Drosophila melanogaster: one gene and its partners. The protein of the gene in region 1 interacts with the protein of each later gene in a pairwise test. Each region holds a gene or a part of one and is shown in the gene's direction. Other genes may lie near its edges.

Region 1 (4,288 bases):
TATGATATCGATGCGAATAGAAGAGAAAAAAAGTTTGAAAATGCACGCAATAAGCAAAGCACGCGAAGTTTGTGAAAGCAATTGTAATTTCATAATGTTACTCAATTTTTGAGTACAAGGCCTCCAGCTACTGATCGGGTTTAAAATACATTTGTGTGCGCTATAAAATACAAAAAACAAAAACAGTTTGAGCACAACCCCTCAATTATTTAACTATCTGATACCCTAGTATCAGAATATGCGTAGCAAGACAAGGGAGAACGCTATGAATGAGTTCTCCGACTATCAGAAGATACACGTTAGTGGTTGGTTGGTTTTGGTATGTATTTATTCCTTATGCACCAAGACTATTACTTAGTAAAATCCGTATTCCCCATATTAAGCAAAACAAGAGTGTATGATATAATCGAGTTCCCCGACTATTAGATACTCATCGTTACTCAGCTAGTGGAAATGCGAATGGGAAATTTCATAATTTTTCTCGGATATCGATAGATATTGGGAAATAATATAATATTGGCAATTTAAAAGACTAATAATAATATGAAAAAGTATTAAAACATTTAGCAAACGTGTGGGCGTGACAGTTCTAGGCAGTTTGTGGGCGTTAGACTGGGCTTGGGAACATGGGCAACTGCACTGCGTCTACGTCTTTAGAATCTGTATGCTTCTTAACTTTCTTTTACCTTCTAGCTTTTATTGAAAAATAGATAGATTTCTGAGATCTCGACGTTCATACGGATGTCCGGCCGAACATGGATATATTGTATATTAGGAATATATATACAATATATGGTCGGAAACGCTTCCTTCTACCTGTTTCATAAGAATATTACTAAAAGGATATAACAAATTTAGTGCCGCTTTTAGGCATTTTGAATGTGCGCTTGTATGATTGAAACAGGGTTCATTCGACTTTTTAAATAAATAGAGTTTTATTTGGTTTTCATATCCATTAATTGTATAAAAACTAAAAAATTAGAAAATATAAATTCTTGATGAGGATCACAAGCGGAATCTTCCATCTGTCGATCAATATTAACTATAAGCTATATATGTACATATGTATATATGTATATACACTGTAAAAGCTAATGTGACACACACACAGCTCTAGTGTGTTTCAGAACGTCGTCTTGCCCACTATAACGCCCGCAAACTTCCCAAAATATCACACCATCGATAACCCAACAGAGTGTTGAATCTGTGCAATGATAAGTAAATTACAAGAACAATAAAGGATATATAGAAAAACTGAAATTTATGTGCCCAACAGGTCAATTTCAGTTGAGATAGTGGCGCCCTCTGTCGGGTATGCTTAATTTGTAAAAATCCCAATTATCGTATTTCAATAATTCGTTCTTAGCAACTCCTACATTTTTAATGGAATGGAAACCGCGCAACCGTTTCCCAGGTGAACCCCGTGCGACCGTCCACAGCAATCGAATGAATATTAGCCAAGGATAGCAGGGGGACACTGCGAGAAATTTCATATGGCAAGTGATAGTAACCTGTATTTGTTTAAGTATTAAAATAAAAAAACTAAAACCTATTTAAGTTAAAATTAATTTTATTTCGCTTTTATTTTCAGTTTCATGTATTGCTGTTTTTGAGAAATTTAGTACATATATCTTAATTCCTATTTTATGTAATATTTTCTTATTAAAATTCCGTTTAAAATTACCAACATTGTTGTTGACAATAATCTTAGTTTAATATTAATAATATATTTTAGAAATGGATCAATGTTTAGAGTTCGTTATCATATTTTCTCGCTATGCATTTTCCGTTACCTAGCAACCATCAATTTGGGATTCGGTGGCCCAAACAAAAGCTCCAACGACCACAACAAATGACGGTGTTGAAAATGCAATTGCCAGCGCAGCCGCAGCGATTGCAAGCAGCCAAAGAAAAACAGGTGAACTCGTTGGAAGCCAGGAATGTCCTTCAAGGATGTGCGAGGTGCGTACTGACTTCCTCCTCTTACTTCCTCCACCTAACACGACCAGACTGATACTCCACTTCCAGATCTGGGGGAACATCTTAAGCTGTTGGGGTTCCCGCGCGTGTTTCCCCTCCAATCCCTGGCCAATCAGCATGGCAGCCTGGCCAGTTTCCACATTGTTGCCGAGCTCCTTCAATGGCTAGCAGGACTAATAGAGCCAGGAGCCACTTTGCCCGGCGGCGTTGAATCGGAGGAGCAGCGGGTTCTTCTCGTCCGTTCGGCGACCGAGTTTTTTGTGACCAAGGCAGCCATTCGTATTAATCCCCGAAAACTGTATGCAGCCGCTGCGGTTACGGCGGCAGAGCTACAGAAGGTTACCCGACTCTTGACATCCCCAGGACAAAACGAAGCGGACAACGACGAAGAGGACCAAAGGGACCAGTACCGGAGCCTAAATCCCGTGGATATTGGCGATAAAATAGAGGAGTTGCGTAAGGCTCGAGAACTGGCCACAGACCTAACCCAGCGTGGCACAACCATATGCGAGATGCTTTCGAAGGAACTGCTCCACAAGGAATCGCTAATGTCCCAGGCCCAACGACCCCTGGAGCTGCTCAGCGTGGAGCGGACCCTGAAGAGCGCCATCCAAGCTAACCAAGTTCGCCTCCAATCGAGTAGAGCCCAACTGGAAGCAGCCAAGGTGGAGCTCAATGCTCTGGGATCAAAGCTGCAGCGCCGTCGGGCGGAGCTCGAGCGAACCCGCCAAAGACTGGAGGCACTGCATCGCATTCGACCAGCGCACATGGCCGAATTCGAGGACTGTGAGAAGGAGTTGCAGGAGCTATTCCAGCGCTACTTTCTCAGGCTGCATGTGCGCGATGCTCTAAAGTCCCAGCTGGACCTGCGTACTAAACGTGCCACACCTATCTCCTCACCCATTCTGCAAAAGCCCGCCGAGAACTCAATGCCCTTCATCCCGGAGGGACTCATCGAGGACGACGATGACGACGACGACGAGGACGATCTGGATGACGAGGATGAGGGCGATGATGGCGGCAAAGCACTTTCCCGTCTCGAAATGGTGGTCAATGGCAGGAGTGTCTTCGGCCTGGACTCAGAGATACCCGACATACGGGACGAGGACAAACTAATGCAACAAAACAACATGGTTTCCGCCCAGGGAAAACGTCCTGGTACCGCCACCTCCAGGATTAGACCCACAACGGGTAGAAGCAGGAAGGCAGTAGGAGGTAAGGAAGTTCTAATTTCACAAACTTATTTCCCTGCTCAAATAACGAAAATCCCAGGAAGAGGCACAGCCGGCCCGGATGGTGGTAATGATGCCAGGGCAGCCCGCGGCACCAGGAGAGGTGTTGCGACTGGAGGAGACGCCGATGGCACCCAGCTAAACGGCCGCAACGGACCCGGCAGCAGTATGCTCAACTCCCGGGACGAAGACAGCAGCTTCGGGAGCTCCGAAAGCGAACTGGATGTGGGTAAAATCATGGGCATGAGCGGAATGAGCGGAATGAGTGGCATGAGCGCTATCAGCGGGATAAGTGGGATGAGCAATATTGCCTTGGGAGCCGGCGATGATGATTGTAAGTCGTGTAGTTACGCCTTGAACTTATAACAAAACTTTACCTCATTCACCCCTAGTTGATCTGAACTCGATCGATGACATAAGCATTTCAAAGTTAACTGGCGAACTGCCACTTAGACCGAAGACCGCCAATAAAGCGGAGCATCACAGCGATGAGGATTTCTAGGGATAACTACAATATTTATATTTATTTGCTAATTTTATAAACTCAGCCAGAGGGCAGACAGGTTGTAAAAAGTAAATAAAATATTCCCATCAAGCAATTAAAAGATTTCTTTCCACGTCACAATCAAATACGTCACCGTCTCGCAAATAGACGGCCTTAGGGTTCCGGTTCCTGCAGTAACACGAATTGTCTGGCGATATGGTGACTAGTATGATGAGCAATCAAAGTGTAGTCAAAGATGGATTTCTGCATGTACATAGGTAAGTGGGACTGTGCAAGTCAAAGCATAGCCAGGATCCCTAACTAAGTACATCGTTATCTGTATGACTTTAGCTAATCTATTCCTCCAAGAAGCGAGATATAAATTAAATTTGCTTTTGTAGATACGTTATAATCAGTTAATTCAATGCTCGAATAATTGAAATAGTTTGCTTAATATATCTTTATTCGATTAATTTTAATGTGTCTTAAGAGCTATACGCATATGTAAGTACATTGATAGAGTAATGGATATAAAAGGGGTAATTTATCAGACAAAGCCCCACATAGATGGGATTTCGTTGTGGCTCCGTAA
Region 2 (3,182 bases), on another chromosome or scaffold:
TCCTTCACTTAACGTTAGCGTTAGTATTGAGCATCGGATCTACGAAAAGAATTACATCTGTGGTAACTGATCAATGGGAGTGGTAAACTTAAAGTCCTCGGGGAAAAGCTTAGCTGCGTGCGGATACATAAGTTTGTAGGACTGTCTGATGGTGACGTCGGCCACACCGGCTATATCACCGATTTCCTTCTGGCTTCTCTTATGCTCGGATGCTTGTGAGGCCATATAGATTGCGGCTGCGGCCACAGAAATTGGCGAACGTCCCGGTACAATATCCATCTCGACGGCTTTCTTTGCAATGTGCGTGGCAGCGCGTTGGACCATGTTCGGCAGGTCTGATAAGAATTATAGGTATTAATCCTGCTACCTTCAAGTACAGAAAGTGTAAAAACACTTACCCAAGTTGGCGCAGAAGCGGCACATGAAGTCCGCAGTGGTTATGAGATCCACACTTGTCTCGAGAGCCTTCAATGTTAGCTTAAAGCAACGGCCAATCTCTTTTTTGCTGATCTTGCTGACAGCACATATTTCCTTGAATGTGCGAGGAACTCCTTCTTGGCGACAAGCTATATACAGACAAGCGGATGCCTTGGCATCGTTGGAACGACCCTTGAGGTTCTTTCCATCATGAACCTACAAGAAAACGGCATGAGGTCTCAACCAAATCAACCGCGAACTCGAATTTCACCTGTTTGAACAAGTTGTTGGCCCGATCGACAATGGTTTTGGGCAAGTTAATGCGATCGGCCATCGAGGATATCTCCTTAAAGGCTGATATGAGGGAGCGATCCGAGCTGCTCATGGTGCGTCTGTTTTGGTACTTGGGTGCTCCAAAGGCGTCAAAGGATGCGGATCCTGTGCCCGGACCAATTATGGTGGACAAGTCGCCGCCACTGAGCAGCGGATTCTCCGGTCCACCGACACGACTGGGATCCACGCCGCTCTTCTCGTTGCTAAAGGTACGCCACTCGGAGCCCACATCAATTACGCGGTCCCCAACCACCAGACCACACTCGGAGCAAATCATATCGCCAGCCCTGTAGTCCTCGATGAGCGGAGATTCGGGGTGTGCGTAGCAGCACACCTTGTTGTTGTCCAGTCTGCAAGCAGTAAGCCATTATTGGTGTTCACAAATTGTTAGGAAACCCGACTTTTACCTCGATGTCGATGCCATTTGTACTCTGTAAGCTATATATTTTTTTAATACTCACATCAACTGGTGATGTGACTTTGCCCGATAACTCGATAGCTGCTTAGGTTTTTGCTTCACAGAAATCGGAATATGGGAAAGTCAACTTTAATAATTATTTTTCTGTATTTTAAGTTTTCTTGCTGTTAATAATAACTTAACCACCTTTAGCATTTTAGCAATCTGTTTTACTTTCACAATTAATGTTCTATATTTTAAGTTTCCATGCTGTTAATAATAAGCACCATTTTAACTTGATTAAAAGTTATTAATTCATAAATAAAAATTTTTAACAATAATAGATGTTTTTTGTCTAGCCAATTCCAAATTAACGCATGTTATTATTTATTTTTTAAGCTGTTTCTTTTTCACCGTTCCATAAGCGAGACAGGCCTTCAACTTCGCAATTTCGCACCCCACATAAACATGCGAGCATGTTCAAGCATTTGGAAACGTGGCAACCCTGCTCGCTTATTGTTATGGCAACAACAGGATGCCGTGCTAAACAAACTCATTGACATGAGAAAATAATCAAGTTCCGCATTGATGTTCGTAGTTTGTACGAGTTTCGGCTGTGCGAAAAATTTACGGCCAACCTTAACTGGCCCTATATAAATTTCGAAGAGACTATACTCTCCGTGGGGCGAACCGGTCACTGCACAGCAGTCGCGAAATGTTCAAAAACACTTTCCAATCGGGATTCCTATCAATTCTGTACAGTATTGGCTCAAAGCCACTGCAGCTGTGGGATAAGAAGGTGCGCAATGGACACATCAAGCGGATCACCGACAACGACATACAAAGCCTCGTGTTGGAAATAGTCGGCACCAATGTCAGCACCACGTTCATAACATGTCCGGCAGATCCGAAGAAGACGCTGGGCATCAAGCTGCCCTTCCTGGTGATGATCATCAAGAACATGAAGAAGTACTTCACCTTCGAGGTTCAGGTAAGCTTCGTCATCTTGCATAAGACAGTAACTCCATGATTTCCGCCCCTAATCAGGTTCTCGATGACAAGAACGTGCGGCGAAGGTTTAGGGCCAGTAACTACCAGTCGACAACTCGTGTCAAGCCTTTCATTTGCACCATGCCCATGCGATTGGACGAGGGATGGAACCAGATCCAGTTCAACCTGTCCGACTTCACGCGTCGCGCATACGGCACCAATTATGTGGAGACACTCCGTGTACAGATTCATGCAAATTGCCGCATCAGACGCGTCTACTTCTCCGATCGTCTCTACTCGGAGGACGAGCTGCCGCCGGAGTTTAAGCTCTTCCTTCCCATTCAGAAGCCGGTGCAGAAGTCCAATGCGATTTGTAGCTAAATTCTGTATGCATCATCAATCAATTAGAGCACCTAACCAGACGGAGTCGACGATTAAAACGGCACAAAATGCACAAGACTGCCATCCAGCACTCATTCAACACTTTATGGGAATCACGAATAAAAATTGCATCATGTACATAAAATTCTATTGATCTCTTGTAAGTATCTCCGTTCCCGTCTCGGTTATCAGAATGGTGTGCTCGAACTGGGCGCTACGTGCGCCATCCAAACTAATGGCCGTCCAGCCATCTTGCAGCACTGCTATTTCTGCTCCGCCCAGGGACAGAATGGGTTCAATGGTGAAGGTCATGCCGGGCTGCATCTTTCCAGGAATCTCATTATCTACGATGTGCAGTTTGATTAGCAATGGAGGAGTCTCTTAAACAGTCTTACTTACAATAGTGTAGTATCTCCGGGGGGCCGTGGAAATAGCTACCGATTCCATGTCCAATGAAAGCAGCTATCGATGCCAGATCATGTTCGTCGCAATATCTGTCTATGAACTTTCCAATCTCATTGAATTCCACACCGGGGCCGCACAGCGAAATGCACTGATCCAAACAGGATTTAGTGGCCTCCACGAGAAAGCCACCCCGTTCGTCCACGTTGCCCACCCGAAATGTTTCCGAACAGTCGCCATGGTAGCCGTTCAAAAAGACTGT
Region 3 (4,017 bases), about 22 Mb from region 1:
TGAGTGGTAGGCGCGCGGGGGGCAGCCGCCCACGCTTATCAGTGTCCATCTGGCAAATTCGAGATTTTCATGGCGCGCCTGTCGTGGAAAGGTACCGCTTATCGCGTTTTATTGGATTTAACGTCAACTCAAACATTGTACCGCTAAATTCCCCGCGAATTCGCCTTGTGCGCTTTATCTGCTTAATATTCTGGTTCTAGTTCTACTTCTTCCGCTTCGCAGCGACGTATTGCGTAACATGTGTTGTTTTCAACTGCCCGTTCGCCGCTCACACCCGTGGGCCATTCCAATCACTAGAGTGGGTGGAGTGTGAGATGGGCGCCGAAAGTGCATACATTACATGCCCAAGGCCAATCGCATCGCCAATTACCGAATTCACGGCCACACCAGTGTCAGAGAGAACGAGAGAGAGCGCCAAAACGATCCAAATGCTGATGGATGGATGCACGTATGTATGTATGTCAGGGTGAGGATGGCAGCCTAGCATGCCTATAGGACATACACCCACCCACCAATTGGAAACTCACCTCTGCTCCGATCAATCGCACTAGGGACATCTTGGGGATACGGAGATGAGAATTTGGTGCGGGGATCGGATCGCGTGCTCTCCGAACGGTGGCTACACTGAAACTGAACGCAGCGCAGCCGCCCATTTCTGATGCCAGTTATTCTCCACTGTTCTCTACACATATACATGAATGGAAATATATATGTACATATATCTGTATAGGTTTGAGGTAATGTATGGTGGTGTGGTGTGGTATTGGCATGGTGTGGCGATTGTTGATATACGAAGGCGAAGGCGAAGACCACGTCAAAAAGTGCTTTACATTAGCAAGTGGTTATAGTTTGATGCTCACACACACGTGTACACGCACATATGTATGTAACTTGCTACCGCACACACCGTTAGGAACCGGGGGCACAGCTGTTGTTTTTGTGTTGCTCTGTTTTCGCAATTGTTGCTGTTGCTGTTTTTTGGGGGCTCGTTGTGAGTATGTGTGTGTGAGTGTAGTGCTTGCTTTGCGGTGTTTGCGTTCTTGTCAATTCCCTGCTGGAAGGGAATGTTAGCTATGGTGACGGCAGTGTAGTATTGTAGTACCCAAATGCATACTCTATGGTTAATCAATTTTATGGTAATCAAGCCAGTTTATGTGTTCCAGTTAGATTGTAACAACTTTTTAAGTGTACAACAGTGGAAGTGTATTGGATCTTCGATGCTAGACATGCTGAACTGGCTTAGGGTATTTATAAACACCGGCGGATCCAATGTAGTATATTTGTGTTTTTCCATCAACGTATGTACATATGTACATATGTACGTATGGACACATGTACATATGAACTTAAACGAAATGTAATCAAATATTAATACTAGTGCTTAACCGAGGATGGAAAAAATAATCAATTAGGTGATAAGTGCTTCCTAGCTGAACAGATAAATCCTAAAAATGTTTCCTGGAACGCAGTGTGGACAGAAGCAGGCTGGCGCATTTTTCACTTTCTGAATGAAAATTTGTCTGCCTGCTTTTAGGCTTTTGGTCTATTAAAATAGCAAGTTCGCTTTCATCATCGGGCAGGGTAAGCTTTTGCTAGCAGCCCCGCTTCCTGGTCAACATAATCAAAAGGACTAGCCTGCACCGGGAAAACAAAATCCATGGAAATAGATGCAACACAAATGAAAGGCTTTCTCTTTTTTAAAGAAAGTGGTTTGCTTTGTCTCTCAATGGGACAATAGTAGCTCCTTTCTGCTCTTCAGTGATGCCCACCGGTAGTTGAATCAAGGAATTACAAAAAAAAAGTTCTGTCATTTGAAATCCATAACGTTTACAAAAAATCCATTGGCTTCGAAAAGTGTAAGCATATACTAAAAAGAATTCGATTAAATATAGCATATTTTTATACGTTGTTTTTAAGCAAGCTAAAGAAGTACCAGCACTGCCACTCGCTCTTTCTCTCGCTCCCTCTCTTGCTGCGGAATGCGGAAGTCAACTTGTGTGCAGGAGCATATAAATAGTGGGACCAATCGCAGGACTCGCTCACTCTGCTCGGAGAGCTTGGACTGGACTGTCAGCGCTCCGGACGACGCGCCTTAAGTTAGGCAAAAACAATTTTGTTATTTGCCGCAGTATGGACTTGCTGCGCTGACTTACTACTTACTGTCATGCCAAGAGGCTGAGGTCGAGAGGCAGCTTGGGATCTGGAAAAGATGGAGGCCACGCCGGGCTACCAGGACATCAGCGCTCTGGAAAAATCGGTGAGCTTATCGACCAGGCAAACAGAAATAGCCACTTATTCATTCAGAAGTATAGGCACTCAGAGTGTAGTGAGAGAAATTAGGGACACTCCATGGCGGTCTATTACAATCATAAGCCACATTGTCAGTTGGTGCCGAAATATGAGTATTTAAGATCTTTGTCCAAAGTACCTAAATGTAGACTGTTAATCCAAGTTTATCGAACTTAATTTAAGATGTTGTTATCAGGATTTGATCATAAGTTCTCCTGGGAATATCTTTTCAATGCTTCCCTAAGCTGAAGAGAGAACGGAAGCGGCCAAAATTCAATTACTTAATCCATAGGTAACCTACATTTCCCTCTGCTTCAAGGTGGCCAATGCAGGATCGCAGCTGTACACGATGGCCCACAAACTGCACGCGGTGGAGCGCAGCCTCGAACAGACGACGATGGAGCAGATGGACGAGATGGAGGTCCTCGAGTTGCTCGAGTCGATGAGCGAGGTGACCAACGAGTACCAGAATCTGCGCAAGGACATTCGCGAGGTGCAGCAGTTGCAGCGTGACGTCAGCAGCTCCATACGGTACCAAATGCGCAGCATGCAGCAGACTTTTCACACTCTAAAACAGCGGATAGCTAGCTCCCAGAAGGGTCGCAAAAAGCCCGAGAAAGGGCTCGATGGAGCAGGGGTTGGTATTCATGAATAATCAATGACCCTATTGATTGGCCTCCCTGGCGAATAGGTGCGGTAAATGTGTCAATGGGGACGCAAATGTAGGGACTAAATTGGCACCAATCTGAAGCAATCAACTGTGTAACTATATATCGCAAGCCCACTCCAAGCATTTAGACTCGGAAAAAAATCCTATACTTTATATACATGTATACACATTAAGAAAACCACACCCATTGTATGCGAATTAAGGTTTTTTTTTGGTGTTTTATTCCAGTGATAGGCAGGAATAACGAAAACTCACTGCTCTAAGAACACAAAAACACAATGCTTAACACAGAGTAAACAACATTTACGATGATATGCGTTCTTTAGGACGAACCGGAATGTCTGAATGCACTTTTCCAAATTTTGCCTTAACATAATAGTATTTTGAGGTAGTTTTTGATACGACACGTTTTAAAAGATAATATATAACAGACCGTACATATTTAGGCCACACACAATGGTTATTCTTGTGTTAGTTTCATTTTTGGAGATTTATTTGTTGAGCTCTAGAGAAAATAAAAGTTAGTTAAACCTCGGGAGACGAGGAACGCATATATTTAAATCTGGCGCCATCCGGTTGTCAACAACAACCTTCTGGCAACTCCTCTAAGTCGCATCTGGCAATGTCATCTGATCGCAGCCGAGTGGCAACAGTGGTCGCTGCTGCGTTCGCGTACTTTCGTGACTTCATTTGCGATTTTATTTATATTCTCCGTGTTGCGAATAAAATGTATGTATCATGGCAGTTGTTTAAGAAGCGAATATACGCTGATTCATCCTAGGCTGGCGAGAAGATCATTGCGAAAAAAGTGTACGAAAAGAAAGTGCAATAACTGCAGCTCTATTGTGCGCGCATCTGGGTGTGCGTAGATCTTTGCATCGGTGTGTCGGTGTTTTTTTACGTTTGTGTGCGTGGCGTGCCCACATTTGTGGCACAAGTTTAAAAATTGGCACTAAGAAAGTTCAAGAAAGTGGTTCTGGGGAAAATAGTTCATTCATTCAGCATCCACTTTCTGTTGAAAGTGGCGCGCCTGCGTTTTGTGTCTTAATCATCGCATT
Region 4 (5,524 bases), on another chromosome or scaffold:
GCAGCGTCATTTGTTCCACAACTTGGCGGGAACCGTAGTAGCCCTGGCCGAAGCTAGAGGCCGAAGTGTGGCCGCCACGCCAGTCAATCCGGTTGATTATGTTGTGCTCCCTTTGCAACAGCTCCTGATCGTAGTTCCAAGTGTATTTGGGCTTGCACTTGCACATCACCTGATTAACGGCGTAGTCTACTTTCTCGCGGTCAGCGGGGTTGATGTCCTCGTTAAACTCCACCTCGTCCTGCAAGTTCTCAACCTGTTAGCAAGGATTTATAAGAAGCTCAACTTATCCCTAAAAGCTTAATTTTGTAACCTCATGATCTACCCTTCTTACCATCACTTAAGGCTTAACAACTTACCTCTGTGGTTGTTTCATCTTCACTGGAAAGAGAATAGGGTCCCATGTCGTCGTTGGAGGAACTGTCGTCAGCGGACTCGGCTATATGCGGTTCAGGCGCATCATCGCTGTACTCTTCTGCGTGCTCGGTCCCCTCCTCCAGCTCATGTTCTTCTGAATCGCTTGTGTCCGAGTAGGAGCCCACTAGCTCTATGCTGATACGGCGATAGGAGCGCGTGGGTGGTATGTTGCGTGGATTGAAGCGGGGTGAACTGACCGCTTCGGAAGCTTCAATTGGCGTCGGTGAAGTAGGTGGATAGTCTTCGCTGTCGCTAGGCTCGATGACACCGGTGGAAGCATCTGGCTCATCAGAAGCCAGCACGGTGGAGGCTGCTTCCGGGGATAATTGATGCGCTAAATTGGAGGAGCCTGCCTGTTCTATTTCCGGCAGCTCCTCAGGTCCAACTTTATTAGCAAGATGCTCCTCGGACTGCTCGCTCTCATCCTGGAGCTGGTTTTCCTTGCCCTCCATATCGCTCTCTCCGTTATTGTTGTGAGTGACAATTGTGTCGAAGTTAATTAAAGGCTGGCTTTCGGCGACAGTGTTCTCCTCACTGGTTCCCCACGGGCGAAAAATCAATGGATTATCCAAGCCGCAGAGCATGCTCAACCCAAGACACAACACTTACCCAATCTGCGCCGCGTCTTCAGGCTCGCCATCGTTCTGGGAATCTGTGTTTCGCTTTTGGCGCTTGCAGGCGGATGCCGCTCCGCTCGCCACGGAATCCTCCACGTCCATCGCCGGTGGAGCACGTCTACAATCTCAGATCAGAATCTGCCTTCTTTCCCGCCCCGCTGGACTTTCCCTAATTTCCCGATTTTACGTTGTTTACGTCCAACTAGCAGAGATGGCACTTGCCTCACGCGCAAAAGCCCGATTGACCGATAGCTTTGGCGCGACTTATCGGCCAGTTTGAAAGTCTGTGGATGGAGTATAATCCTGCTTACGCCTAAGATGTGTGGCTTCAGCCTTTAAATACGATCAGTGACTTCCCTCCCACACGAGGCTTGGTGAACTGTAGAAATGCCTTGCTTTCAATATAAACGAAAGAAGAAAACAAACTCAAGGCATAGTAGATGTGCATTTTCTAGATTCTAGTAGGGAAGTTGGAAACTCTTTTTCTTAGAGAAACTCGTATATAGAGTATCCAAATAAGCAAGAAATTGCACCCCCATATTTGATTATACTATATTTAATGTATACTCTTAAATTATAGTTATAAATATATTTATTTTCAACAAGCATGGCAGGTCTCTTCAATGGTATTCACACTTAGCAAGCCATCTCTTCGAACCTTTTTAGTTCGTTGTTCTTCTCTGTTGGCTTTATGCTGAGCACGACTACTTCCCCGCTCCAACACCTTGGCATTTCGCCTCTTGGATGACTTCGCTGAGAGTGGCATGTGGTTGGGCCGGTGGATCGGGTTCGGCTTGAGTGGCTCCACAGAGCTGCGACGGAGCCGATTATATACGCATGAGACCGAAGACGGAGAGACGAGTTCAGTTATAAGCGAGCTGGCTTCGAGGGCGGTGCTAAGAGTTTCGTGGTCGCTAAAGCGGAAAAACAACTCCAGATCGGGTAATGAAATGAAACATGGTGCGGAGAGCCAGCGATATGAACTCGATACGCTGGGCACGTTGACGGTTCCACATATGTGCCCTATGTGCAGCTACTTACCAGGGAGCACAGTGAATGTACTTGTTTTTATGTCACCCGATGGTTTCTTAGCTCGTCTGTGAGTGTGCCTGTGTGCTGGTTAAGTGGCTTCCCACTTCCTCTGCTGCGCATGCGCAGCCGCCAAGTGCGAAAATGGCCAGCAATCCATCTGAGAGCCCATCTCCGCCCCAAGTGATGTTTGTTCTCGGGTTCGCGGCCTGGATTTTTTCCTCTACTTTTCGATTTCGATTTCGTACCCGCGTTTTTTCGACTCGCCTCTAATCTCGTGATGAACGGCGAATTCCGGTTTGCCAGGGGCAAGCTGAGCAGCAAAATCCAATAAAAAAAATAAATATGCATAAGTTTGGGGGAAAAAGGCGGAAAGTGAAACCGCTCTGAGCTTGGTTTTCCGCCCATTCCTCGGTGCGCACTTCCTATTTTCCAGGTCTCGCCACATTACCAAATCTTAAGTGCCTATTCATGCCGATTGTTATCAGACCCGAGATATCAAGGCTAACTTGTTTCGCCTCCGAAAAGATAATAAGTTACGCTCTGGAGCTGCGGGCAGCATGATTCACGGTTCTGGACGATGCAACAAGATTCGCTGGTCAGCTTCTTAAGGTCGCACTGGCGAAAGTTGAGAATCAGGTTGGACTACCCACTCGAATATGACTTGAACTGGAGGGAACAAAGCAGATTCTTTGATTACATTCGTCTTGATTTCGATTTCTGAAGTAAACGATCTGTGTGACTCACTATGCATAGTTCTTCCACAAATGTTGAAAAACTTTAACGTTTCGTTTAGCAAAACAAATGGTGCAGTGTAGTTTGTTTAGCCTCTAGAATACAAATCGATTATTATTATAAACCCAAACAACTAACGATTAGTTTGATGCACAAAAGGTGAACAAATACCTATAAATAATAAACTGCAGCTACCTTTTAGACCCAGACATTGACTTTGGAATGCCTGGCACTTTTCTGACTACATGGGTCGCTTCTTGTGCCTTTCACTTTTCCCGTTCAATTAAGACGCCAATTGAGCTGAATTGAAATTATAAATTGTCACAACAAAGTTGCACGCAAAGCACTTAACTCGATTCTTCATTCTCCATTCTCCATTCTCGATTCCGGTTCGTCTTCACCAGAAAACCAATCCGCAACAGATGACGCTGAGGAGCAGACTTAGTGGGGAAGCACCGCAGCTGTGGCTGCTCCTCCTCCTGGCCTCCACTGCGAGCAGCTTGTGGGCTTCGGTGGCCGCCAGGACAGGTGAGTCTTACGCTCGGCTTAACCACAAAGGGGTGGCTCACCGCTGATTGTCCTACGTTTTCTATTCGCAGGACCCCTGCACGACAAGGTGGTGGTTTGCTACGTTTCCACATGGGCTGTTTACCGGCCGGAGCAGGGTGCCTATGCCATCGAGAACTTCGACCCCAATTTGTGCACCCATGTGGTGTACGCCTTTGCCGGCCTGGACATCACCCAGGCAGCCATCAAGTCGTTGGGTGAGTTTCCGGTTCGATTTATGGCCATATGCAAATTTAAAACATTGCTGATTGCAGATCCCTGGCAGGACCTAAAGGAGGAGTACGGCAAGGGTGGCTACGAGAAAATGACGGGTCTGAAGCGCAGCCATCCGCATCTGAAGGTCAGCCTGGCCATCGGCGGCTGGAACGAGGGATCGGCCAACTACTCCACCCTGGTGGCCAACAATCTGCTGCGCGGCAGGTTCGTCAAGCAGGTGTCCAGTTTCATACGCAAGTACAACTTCGACGGGCTGGATCTCGACTGGGAGTATCCCACGCAGCGGAAGGGCAAGCCCGCGGATCGCGAGAACTTCGTTCTGCTGACCAAGGAGCTGCGCGAGGAGTTCGACGAGCACGGCCTGCTGCTGACCTCCGCCATCGGAGCCTCCAAGAAGGTGATCGACGAGGCCTATGACGTGCGGCAGATCTCGCGTTACTTGGACTACCTGCACATCATGTGCTACGACTACCACGGCAGCTGGGACCGCCGAGTTGGTTACAATGCTCCGCTCACGGCGCCCGCGGATGATCCGCTGAGTGTGGTAAGTGCACCTGGGTACCAATTCCTGGAATAAATGCCCGATACCCTATACCCTAGATTACGTAAAATTGATAATCAGGAAGCAGAGAGAGAGGAATATCATTAACTCTTTTCCTTTACTTTTACAGAAATTCTCCATTGACTACCTGCTGAAACTGGGCGCCCCGCCGGAGAAGCTGGTGATGGGCCTGCCCTTCTACGGACGCACCTTCAAGACGTTGGCCAGTGGATTCCTGAACGACGTCAGCGAAGGCGTAGGCTTCAAGGGACCCTACACGCGGGAGGACGGCTTCCTGGGCTACAACGAGATCTGCCAGACACTGAGCAACCAGACCTCCGGATGGACAAGGGAGTGGGATCCGCAAACCAGCCAGGTGCTGGCCAAGTCCGAGCGAAACGTCTTCACCCAGGAGATCAACGTGGTGACCTACGACAGCTCCCGCTCCATCGCCAACAAGGTGTTGTTCGCCATGTCCAAGCGGCTTGCGGGTGTGATGGTGTGGTCCGTGGACACGGACGACTTCCTGGGTAACTGCAAGCTGGACGAGGACACGTACGAGGACTTCCAGAAGGTGACTGCCGCGCCCAAGAGATCGAGCCAGAACTATCCCCTTCTGCGGACCATCAACGAGGCCACCATGCTGGCCGTGGACGAGCTGGCTGTGCCGGAGCCGCAGCCGGATGACTCCGAGAACGAGATTCCGCACGGCAGCATAGCGGATCGCAAGAATGCCGGCGCTTCTATGGTCAGTCTGGGCCTCGGAGTCACCGCTGTCTTCATGCTCCTGCACCGGTTGGCCCAGTGAGAAATTGAGGGAGTGCTCCGGTAGCCATAGTCTTAGAAACACATCACCTTGTTCACGTAGTCATTAAAATCCAAATTGTATTTTTAAGATAAAACCTGGTTTTCCTTCGATTCTTGGGGATCATAACGCTTTGAGTAAGAATATATCATTAAAGGTACATATATACATATGTATGTGTAGCTTCCATCCTAATTTTTAGTTACCCTTTGGTTTAGCCAAAAAGAAAGGAACCCGAAGTTTTTGTTAAAATATTTTGGTTATACTTGGTGTACTCTTTAATAAATTTAACTGGCGCTCTAACATTTAACTAACTAGTCATATATTTGTATGTGTATATGGGTGTGTGTATACGCAACTATGTAAATACGCAGGTAAATATAACATAATTTGTATATAATATCCATAGATTATCATTGCTACAAGTTGTCAACATTCAATTCAATGCTACCATATGTGATAAGTAATATATGTACTAGGTAAACTATGCAAAGGATACGCGTAAAGTAGTTAAAGCAAGGTTTGCAGCCCCGAGGACTTTCGATAGTTGGGGAGATAGGACATACATATAATAGAATAGAGTTCCGTTCTTGGATGGCA

What was found.
Region 2: the proteins of Cluap1 (region 1) and Bug22 interact in a two-hybrid assay, tested with the Drosophila melanogaster proteins (one large-scale study listed by BioGRID).
Region 3: the proteins of Cluap1 (region 1) and CG17778 interact in a two-hybrid assay, tested with the Drosophila melanogaster proteins (one large-scale study listed by BioGRID).
Region 4: the proteins of Cluap1 (region 1) and Cht2 interact in a two-hybrid assay, tested with the Drosophila melanogaster proteins (one large-scale study listed by BioGRID).

What each region holds. Positions count from the first base shown.
Region 1 is NC_004354.4:22,541,876-22,546,163, reverse strand, and holds Cluap1 (clusterin associated protein 1), read left to right. Parts: upstream 1-1,841; 5' UTR 1,842-1,940; coding exon 1,941-1,962; intron 1,963-2,028; coding exon 2,029-3,195; intron 3,196-3,252; coding exon 3,253-3,546; intron 3,547-3,604; coding exon 3,605-3,714; 3' UTR 3,715-3,778; downstream 3,779-4,288.
Region 2 is NT_033779.5:10,429,395-10,432,576, reverse strand, and holds Bug22 (basal body up regulated gene 22), read left to right. Parts: upstream 1-1,658; 5' UTR 1,659-1,862; coding exon 1,863-2,138; intron 2,139-2,194; coding exon 2,195-2,518; 3' UTR 2,519-2,657; downstream 2,658-3,182. Other genes in the region: TfIIB (transcription factor IIB), read right to left, coding at 52-335, 399-633, 689-1,100, 1,158-1,174; CG5188 (uncharacterized protein), read right to left, coding at 2,666-2,862, 2,918-3,182. UniProt on the Drosophila melanogaster protein: Cilium- and flagellum-specific protein that plays a role in axonemal structure organization and motility. Microtubule inner protein (MIP) part of the dynein-decorated doublet microtubules (DMTs) in cilia axoneme, which is required for motile cilia beating.
Region 3 is NC_004354.4:492,861-496,877, forward strand, and holds CG17778 (uncharacterized protein), read left to right. Parts: upstream 1-1,753; 5' UTR 1,754-1,856; intron 1,857-1,917; 5' UTR 1,918-2,209; coding exon 2,210-2,257; intron 2,258-2,608; coding exon 2,609-2,944; 3' UTR 2,945-3,509; downstream 3,510-4,017. Other genes in the region: CG17896 (uncharacterized protein), read right to left, coding at 528-557.
Region 4 is NT_037436.4:1,752,036-1,757,559, reverse strand, and holds Cht2 (chitinase 2), read left to right. Parts: upstream 1-1,625; 5' UTR 1,626-1,973; intron 1,974-2,287; exon of another isoform or gene 2,288-3,199; 5' UTR 3,200-3,217; coding exon 3,218-3,323; intron 3,324-3,394; coding exon 3,395-3,559; intron 3,560-3,616; coding exon 3,617-4,122; intron 4,123-4,249; coding exon 4,250-4,927; 3' UTR 4,928-5,017; downstream 5,018-5,524. Other genes in the region: CG8001 (uncharacterized protein), read right to left, coding at 1-253, 357-948, 1,024-1,133.